Anolis sagrei: one gene and its partner. The protein of the gene in region 1 interacts with the protein of each later gene in a biochemical or structural test. Links are inferred from orthologs where the notes say so. Each region holds a gene or a part of one and is shown in the gene's direction. Other genes may lie near its edges. The genes, in order: RPS6KA3 and PEA15.

Region 1 (3,922 bases):
CAATGGAGGATCTTCTTGCAGCGACACCAGAGGCACTCCAAGTGGCCAGATACTGGTCAAAGGACATCTAATCAACTACCAATCTTGCAAACTTGTGTTTTGTTTGTTTGTTAAAAAATAAACATATGCAACTGTTTGGTCTGCCCCTGACACGATAAATAAATAACCCCTAAGCGTAACCCTAAACTTTGCCTTAGCCCTTACCCTTAGCGCCCCCTCCTTTCTATCCTTTCTTCGCTCTCCACGTTCTCCCTCCGCCCCTTTTCTTCCCTTATTCACGAACGCCGTTACGAAATGTGCGCTTCCGGACACAGCTATCATACTATCCCCAAAGTAACAAAGGCCGAAAGTAATAGAACTGAAGGCCTCCCTCCAGAACGGAAACCACTTCCTGAGGAGGAGGAGGAGGAGGAGGAGGAGGGAGAGGAGGACGACTCCAATGACTTTTTTTTTCCAACTGCGAACTGTCGTCACGGCTTGGAAGCGGGCGGCGGCGATTGGGGGAGGCGAAGGGTTCACTCCACTGAACTGACGCGGGGAAGGCGCGCGCCAGGAATGACGCGCGGGACCGGCTGGGCTTTGTCGCGAGGCAGGGAGCCCCTCCCTTCTCCTTCTCTCTTCCCGGCTCTCTCTTCCCCCTCCCACGCCTGTCGCAACCAGATTAACTCTCCAGCCCCCTCCTCTCCTAAGCCACGCCCTCTTTTAAAAACTACCTGCCGCCGCCTCTGATTGGTCCGCCTTGGGATGACGCCATCCCCCTTCGTTTTGACAGGCAGGTACGGCTCGGGCGCCGCCATATTGGGAGCGGAAGCGGGCTGAGCGGCAGAAGCGGCGCTGCTGGTTGTTCACCCTCCGGCTTGGAAAGTCCTGCGCTCCCTCCGCGAGGGAAGGAAGGAAGGAAGGAAGGAAGGAAGGAAGGAAGGAAGGAAGGAAGGAAGGAAGGAAGGAAGGAAAGCAGGGAAAAGGAAGGGAGCGTGTTCCGCCCGTCTCCTCCCCGCGGCGGGGAGGAGGAAGGAGCCCGACCCTGAGCCGAAGTGGGACTCTGAGGAAAAGCAGGCGGCGGAAGAAGAGGAGGAGGAGGAAGAAGCGGAAAAAGAAGGGAGGAAGGGACGCTTCAGGTTAAGGGGCCACCATGCCGTTGGCGCAGCTGGCCGACCCCTGGCAGAAGATGGCCGTGGAGAACGCGGCGGAAAGCGGCAACAGCGCCGAGGTAGAGTTTCCCTCAGGAAGCGGGGCAACTCGGGAGAGAGAAGGGGGGTATGTGTGGAAAAGGTTTGGGGCAGGCATGGGCAAACTTGGGCCTTCCCTCCAGGTGTTTTGGACTTCAACTCCCACCATTCCTCACAGCCTCAGGACCCTTCCTTTCCCCCCTCAGCCGCTTAGCGTAATTAAAAATTACGGCTGAGGGGGGAAAGGAAGGGTCCTGAGGCTGTGAGGAATGGTGGGAGTTGAAGTCCAAAACACCTGGAAGGAAGGCCAAAGTTTACCCATGCCTGTTTTGGGGAGAGGTGCCGCACCCCACGTTCAGGTTTTTTTATCTCAACTACTCAACTTTAAGGAAGTGTCCTTGTCCTTATCTGGGACCTGAAGTGTTTTTGATCTAGCATATTATTTGGATATTCCTAATGAGATGACAGGGAATTGGCATATGTTTCAAACACACTGTAGATACATAGCCTGAAGGTGGTACATAACATTTTTAATTACATTGCACATAAAACAGAGTTTGTGGAAGTGAAGGTCACTTATCCTTGTCTGAAACACTTGGGACTTTAAAGTGTTTTTGATTTTTGATTCCCCTTCATTTTTTGAATGAATTTGCATTTATTCATGTGTTTACCATATATACTTGAGAATAAGCCGACCCGAGTATAATCCGAGGCACCTAATTTTACCACCAAAAAATGGGAAAACTTACTGACTCGAGTATAAGTCGAGGGTGGGAAATGCAGCAGCTACCGGTAATACAAAATAAATATAGATACCAATAAAATTACATTAATTGAGGAAACAGTAGGTGAAATGTTTTTGAATATTTACATAAAACTGTAATTTAAGATAAGACTGTCCAACTCTGATTAAACCATGATACCAACCTTTTTCAGTGTAAATATATTTGTACATCTTTCCAAGAATAATAGAGTAAAATAGTAAATGTAATAATAACAGTAATAGAGTAAAACAATAAATGTAATAATAACAATAGAGTAAAATAATAAATGTAATTAGAGTATAATAATAATAATAATAATAATAATAATAGAATTAAATAATAAATAATCTTGACTCGAGTATAAGCCAAATGGGATTTTTCAGCCTAAAAAAAGGGCTGAAAAACTAGGCTTATACTCGAGTATATACAGTATTTATTTATTTGCCGTATTTATACCCCACCTTTCTCTATCCCAGCAGGGTCTCAAGGCGGCATACAATGGCACATACACAGTGCCTCAAAACAACAAATTCACCTAAAAATAGTTTAGATATACATAATGAGACACCTTGGAAAGGAGGCCCAAATCTAAACAGGGAATTAACTTGTGTTTCATGTGCACCTTATATTCATACCCTGAAGGTTATACGTAACTTTCTTAAATGTATTGCACATAACACAAAGTTTGTGGAAGTGAAGATGGCACTGGGTTGCTGTGAGTTTTCCAGGCTGTATGGCCATGTTCCAGAAGCATTATCTCCTGACGTTTCGCCCACATCTGTGAGAATGTTTCACCGCATCCTGAAGATGCCTGCCATAAATGAGAATGAAGCATCAGGGGAGAATGCTTCTGGAACATACAGCCCAGAAAACTCATATCAACCCAGGATTTCAGAAAGCCCTTTATTTAAAATGTAAAATGATAACTAACAGTGATAAGGTTTCTGTGAGTGTTCTGGGCTGTATGACCATGCTCCAGAAGCATTCTCACCTGAAGTTTCACCTGCATCTATGGCAGGCATCCTCAGAAGTTGTGAGGTTTGTTGGAAACTAGGCAGGGGAGGTGTATATATATCTGTGGAATGTCCAGGATGGGAGAAAGAACTCATATTTGTTTGAGGCAAGTGTGAACCTGAAGCGTTTTTTGATTGAGGTGACACACACACCAGATTTTGGAATATTTGAGATATCTTGGAAATGGGTATATCTAAACAGGAAATTAACATATGTTTCATATCCATAGCCTGACGGTAAGTTTAAACACATTTTTGTATTAATTTGTGTTTTAAGTTTGAACCATCAGAAAGTTAAGTTGTCACTAATTCAGTCACCTGTATGGGCAATTTTGGAGTGTTTCAGATTTCCGAATAAGGAATACTCAATCTGTACTTTGAGAGTTGGGAAGAAGCATCGAAGGGCCACCCTTATGCCTAGTGCTTTGGTTTCTTCCTATCTGAAGCCTGTTTTGCCATCGACTCCTGTCTATCTCCACTTTCCCACCCCCAATTCAATTACTCTTAAGTCAAAGTACTCATCCATTACCTTTACCATTGTGTGTCTTTAGGACTCACTCTCTCTACCTGACAACTTTTAGGGATAACATTTTCTGATTTCTATAAATAGTAATGAATTTGATAAGTCCTTTCAGGTGTTACAAGACTAGTCTTTGTTATTGATGCTACAGACTAATATCATGTCCCACACCCCAATGCTTTTACTCTTTCCCTCTTGAGGCAGGCAGGTGGAGAAAGCGGAAGGGTGGTTTCACAATCCAGTTCTGCTTTTAGACATTATTAGCGTTTTAATCTCCCATCTCACACAACAGACGAATAGATAAATCTCTTTGCTCTATGTGTTCAGAGTCCACAGCATGATTTTGAGTGCACAGATTTCATCCCCTCTCATCTTGTTTGGTGTGTTTGCCTGAAAGTGGTAAAAAAAGAGAGAGAATACCTTGGATTACAATGTGACTCCTGGTCAAGTGAAGGT
Region 2 (3,922 bases), on another chromosome or scaffold:
CTCCCAGGATTCCTTAACATTGAGCTTGGGCTGTTCCAAGTTGGGTCAATGTACATTCATTCCACAGTGTTGCATCAGTAATTGGGTGAGTCATCAGCAGTCTTTGTCAGAGGAAGTGAAAGACTTTGGAAAATTATAGTTTTTCAGGGTCTTTCACTTCCTCTACCATGCACTGCTGACTCACCCAAATACTGATGCAACACTGTGGAATGAATGTATATTGACCCAACTTGGAACAGCCCAAGCTCAATGTTAAGGAATCCTGGGAATTATCGTTTTCAGGACTCCTTAACATTGAGCCTGAGCTGATCCAATGTGAAGCCAAACTGCATTCATTCCACAATGGAGATACAGGATGTGAAAGACCTTGAGAAACTATAACTCCTAGGATTGCTTAGCACTGAGCCAGGGTAGTTCAAGTGGGGTGAAAAGGTCCATTCATTCCACAGCGATGAACTAGTAGTTGGGTGAGAGCCACCAGCAATGTTGGACAGAGGGAAGTGCAAGACCTTAGGAAACTACAACTCCCAGAATTCCTTAACATTGAGCCTGGGCAGTTCAAGTGAGGTCAATGTACATTCATTGCACAGTGTAACATCAGGAGCTGGGCGAGGCATCAGCAGTCTTTGGCAGGGGAAGTGAAAGACCTTGGAGAACTATAACTCCCAGGATTCCTTAACATTGAGCCTGGGCTATTCAAATGGGATCAAAAAGTACACTGAGTGATGCACTAATAATTGGGTGAGATCCATCAGCAGTGTTTGGCAGAGGGAAGTGAAAGACCTTGGAAAACCATAACTCGCAGAATTCCTTAACATTGAGCCTGGGCAGTTCAAATGAGGTCGATGTACATTCATTGCACAGTGTTACATCAGTAGTTGGGAGAGGCATCAGCAGTCTTTGGCAGGGGAAGTGAACGACCTTGGAAAACTATAACTCCTAGGATTCCTTAACATTGAGCCAGGGCTATTCAAATGGGGTCAAAAAGTACATTCAGCGATGCACTAATAGTTGGGTGAGTGTTGGGCAGAGGGAAGTGAAAAACCTTGGGAAACTACAATTCCCATGCTTCCTTAACATTGACTCAAGGCAGTTATAGTGGAGCCACAGGACATGCATTCTCTATGAGAGTCGAGAAGGCCAAAGAGGGTGTTGCATACCCCTGCTTTGCCCGCTAAAAGACCTTGGGAAACTATAACTCCCAGGATTCGTTAGCATTGAGCCAGGGTGATTCAAGTGAGATGAAAAGATATAGTGATGCACTAATAGTTGGGGGAGATCCATCAGCAGAGTTTGGCAGAGGGAAGAGAAAGACCTTGGAAAACTATAACTCCCAGAATTCCTTAACAATGAGCCTGGGCAGTTCAAGTGAGGTCAATGTACATGCATTGCATCAGTAGTTAGGAAAGGCATCAGCAGTCTTTGGCAGGGGAAGTGAAAGACCTTGGGAAACTACAACTCCCAGGTTTCTTTAGCATTGACTCCAGGCAGCTATAGTGGAGCCAAAAGACTTGCATTCCCTATGAGAGTCGAGGAGGCAACAGGGGGCGTTGCATAGCCCCGCTCGGCCCGCTCTGCACGCTTTCCCAAGGCGCGTCACGTGTGAACGCGCGTCCCCGCGTGCACAGGGCCTGCCTCCCCTCCCTCCCTCCCTCCCTTCATTTTGGGCTCCAGGCTTCTGCCCAAAAGCCGCGCGCATCAGCACAAAAGCCGCCAAGCCCGCTGACATCACTGGGAAGGAGGAGAAGGAGGAGGAGGAAGAGAAGAGAGAAGGAGGAGGAGGAGGAGAAGTCGCCCAAGCCAGGCATCCCTCGCCACGCCCGGAGCAGGAAGAGCCCTCACTCGCCTTCTGGGTCGCCCTCTCGCCCTGTATCCGTGCCCAGGAGGGGCCCCTGAGGGTAAGCCAGACCCTCTCCCATCCTCTTGCCCTTCTTCCCTCCCTCTCTCTTCTCTCCTGCATCCCTGATCCTTCCAGGTTGCCATTCTCTCCTTCTCTGGGCGCTCTCCCACATGGGCAAAGGGCTCCATCTTCACCCTGATGGGAGGGTTGGGGTTGAGGGGATGGTCAAATCCCACCCACCCTTGGGAGTTCTAGTTCCCTCTTCCAGGTACCTTCCCAACATCTCCCTATTTCCTGTTGCGCCACTCTCAGCCCTTCTCTCTCCCTTCTAAGCCTGGATCCCACAAAGTTCCCCTCTCTCGCCCCAAAGTTCCCCCAAAGTGGCTTGGAAAATTATTATTATTATTATTATTATTATTATTATTATTATTATTATTATTGTGGTTGTTTCTATGTCTTCTCACTGGCATTGGGTGTTTGCTATAGATGCTGGAAACTGCTCTGAGTCCCTTTGGGGAGATAAAGTATTATTATCTATTATTATTATTAAAGTTTTATATTATTATTATTATTATTATTATTATTATTATTATTGTGGTTGTTTCTATGTCTTCTCACTGGCACTGGATATTTGCCATAGATGCTGGAAACTGCTCCGAGTCCCTTTGGGGAGATAAAGTTTTATTATCTATCTATCTATTATTATTATTATTATTATTATTATTATTAAAGTTTTATTATATTATTGTTGTTATTATTATTGTGGTTGTTTCTATGTCTTCTCACTGGCATTGGATATTTGCCATAGATGCTGGAAACTGCCCTGAGTCCCTTTGGGGAGATAAAGTTTTATTATCTATCTATTATCATCATCATCATCATTATTATTATTATTAAAGATTATTATTATTATTATTATTATTATTATTATTATTATTGTGGTTGTTTCTATGTCTTCTCACTGGCACTGGATATTTGCCATATATGCTGGAAACTGCTCTGAGTCCCTTTGGGAAGATAAAGTTTTACTATCTATCTATCTATTATTATTATTATTATTATTAAAGTTGTATTATATTATTATTGTTGTTATTATTATTGTGGTTGTTTCTATGTCTTCTCACTTGCATTGAATATTTGCCATAGTTGCTGGAAACTGCCCTGAGTCTCTTTGGGGAGTTAAAGTATTATTATCTATTATTATTATTATTATTATTAGTATTATTAATATTATTATAGTTTTATATTATTATTATTATTATTATTATTATTATTATTATTATTATTATTATTGTGGTTGTTTCTATGTCTTCTCCCTGGCATTGGATATTTGCCATATATGCTGGAAACTGCCCTGAGTCCCTTTGGGGAGATAGTTTTATTACCTATATTATTATTATTATTATTGTGGTTGTTTCTATGTCTTCTCATTGCTTGCCATAAATGCTGGAAACTGCCCTGAATCCCTTCGGGGAGATAGGGCGGTCTCCAAATAAAGTATTTTATTATTATTATTATTATTATTATTATTATTATTATTATTGTGGTTGTTTATATGTCTTCTCATTGGCATTGGGTGTTTGCCATATATGTTGGAAACTGCCCCGAGTCCCTTCGGGGAGATAAAGTTTTTATTATTATTATTATTATTATTATTATTATTATTATATTGTTGTTTATGCCTTCTTGTTGGCATTGAATGTATGCTGGAACCTACCCCGACTCGCTTCAGGGAGATAAAGTTTTATATTATTATTATTATTATTATTATTATTATTATTATAATATTGTTCTTGTTGTTCATGCCTTCTCGTTGGCATTGAATGTTTTCCATGTGTGCTGGAAACCACCCCGAGTCCCTTCGAGGAGATAAAGTTTCATTATATATTATTTTATTATATATTATGATATATTATTATTGTTATTATTATATTGTTGTTGTTGTTTATGTCTTCTCATTGGCAATGAATGTTTGCCATATATGCTGGAAACTGTCCCAAGTCCCTTCGGAGAGATAAAGTTTCATTATATATTATTATATTTCTTCTTCTTCTTCTTCTTCTTCTTCTTCTTCTTCTTCTT

The links.
Region 2: the proteins of RPS6KA3 (region 1) and PEA15 form a complex in vitro, tested with the Homo sapiens proteins (2 studies listed by BioGRID). The link is inferred for Anolis sagrei from reciprocal best matches to the Homo sapiens genes RPS6KA3 and PEA15.

The regions. Positions count from the first base shown.
Region 1 is NC_090023.1:88,386,091-88,390,012, forward strand, and holds the start of RPS6KA3 (ribosomal protein S6 kinase alpha-3), read left to right. Parts: upstream 1-771; 5' UTR 772-1,132; coding exon 1,133-1,210; intron 1,211-3,922. UniProt on the Homo sapiens protein: Serine/threonine-protein kinase that acts downstream of ERK (MAPK1/ERK2 and MAPK3/ERK1) signaling and mediates mitogenic and stress-induced activation of the transcription factors CREB1, ETV1/ER81 and NR4A1/NUR77, regulates translation through RPS6 and EIF4B phosphorylation, and mediates cellular proliferation, survival, and differentiation by modulating mTOR signaling and repressing pro-apoptotic function of BAD and DAPK1.
Region 2 is NC_090032.1:7,494,881-7,498,802, reverse strand, and holds the start of PEA15 (astrocytic phosphoprotein PEA-15), read left to right. Parts: upstream 1-1,644; 5' UTR 1,645-1,898; intron 1,899-3,922. UniProt on the Homo sapiens protein: Blocks Ras-mediated inhibition of integrin activation and modulates the ERK MAP kinase cascade. Inhibits RPS6KA3 activities by retaining it in the cytoplasm. Inhibits both TNFRSF6- and TNFRSF1A-mediated CASP8 activity and apoptosis.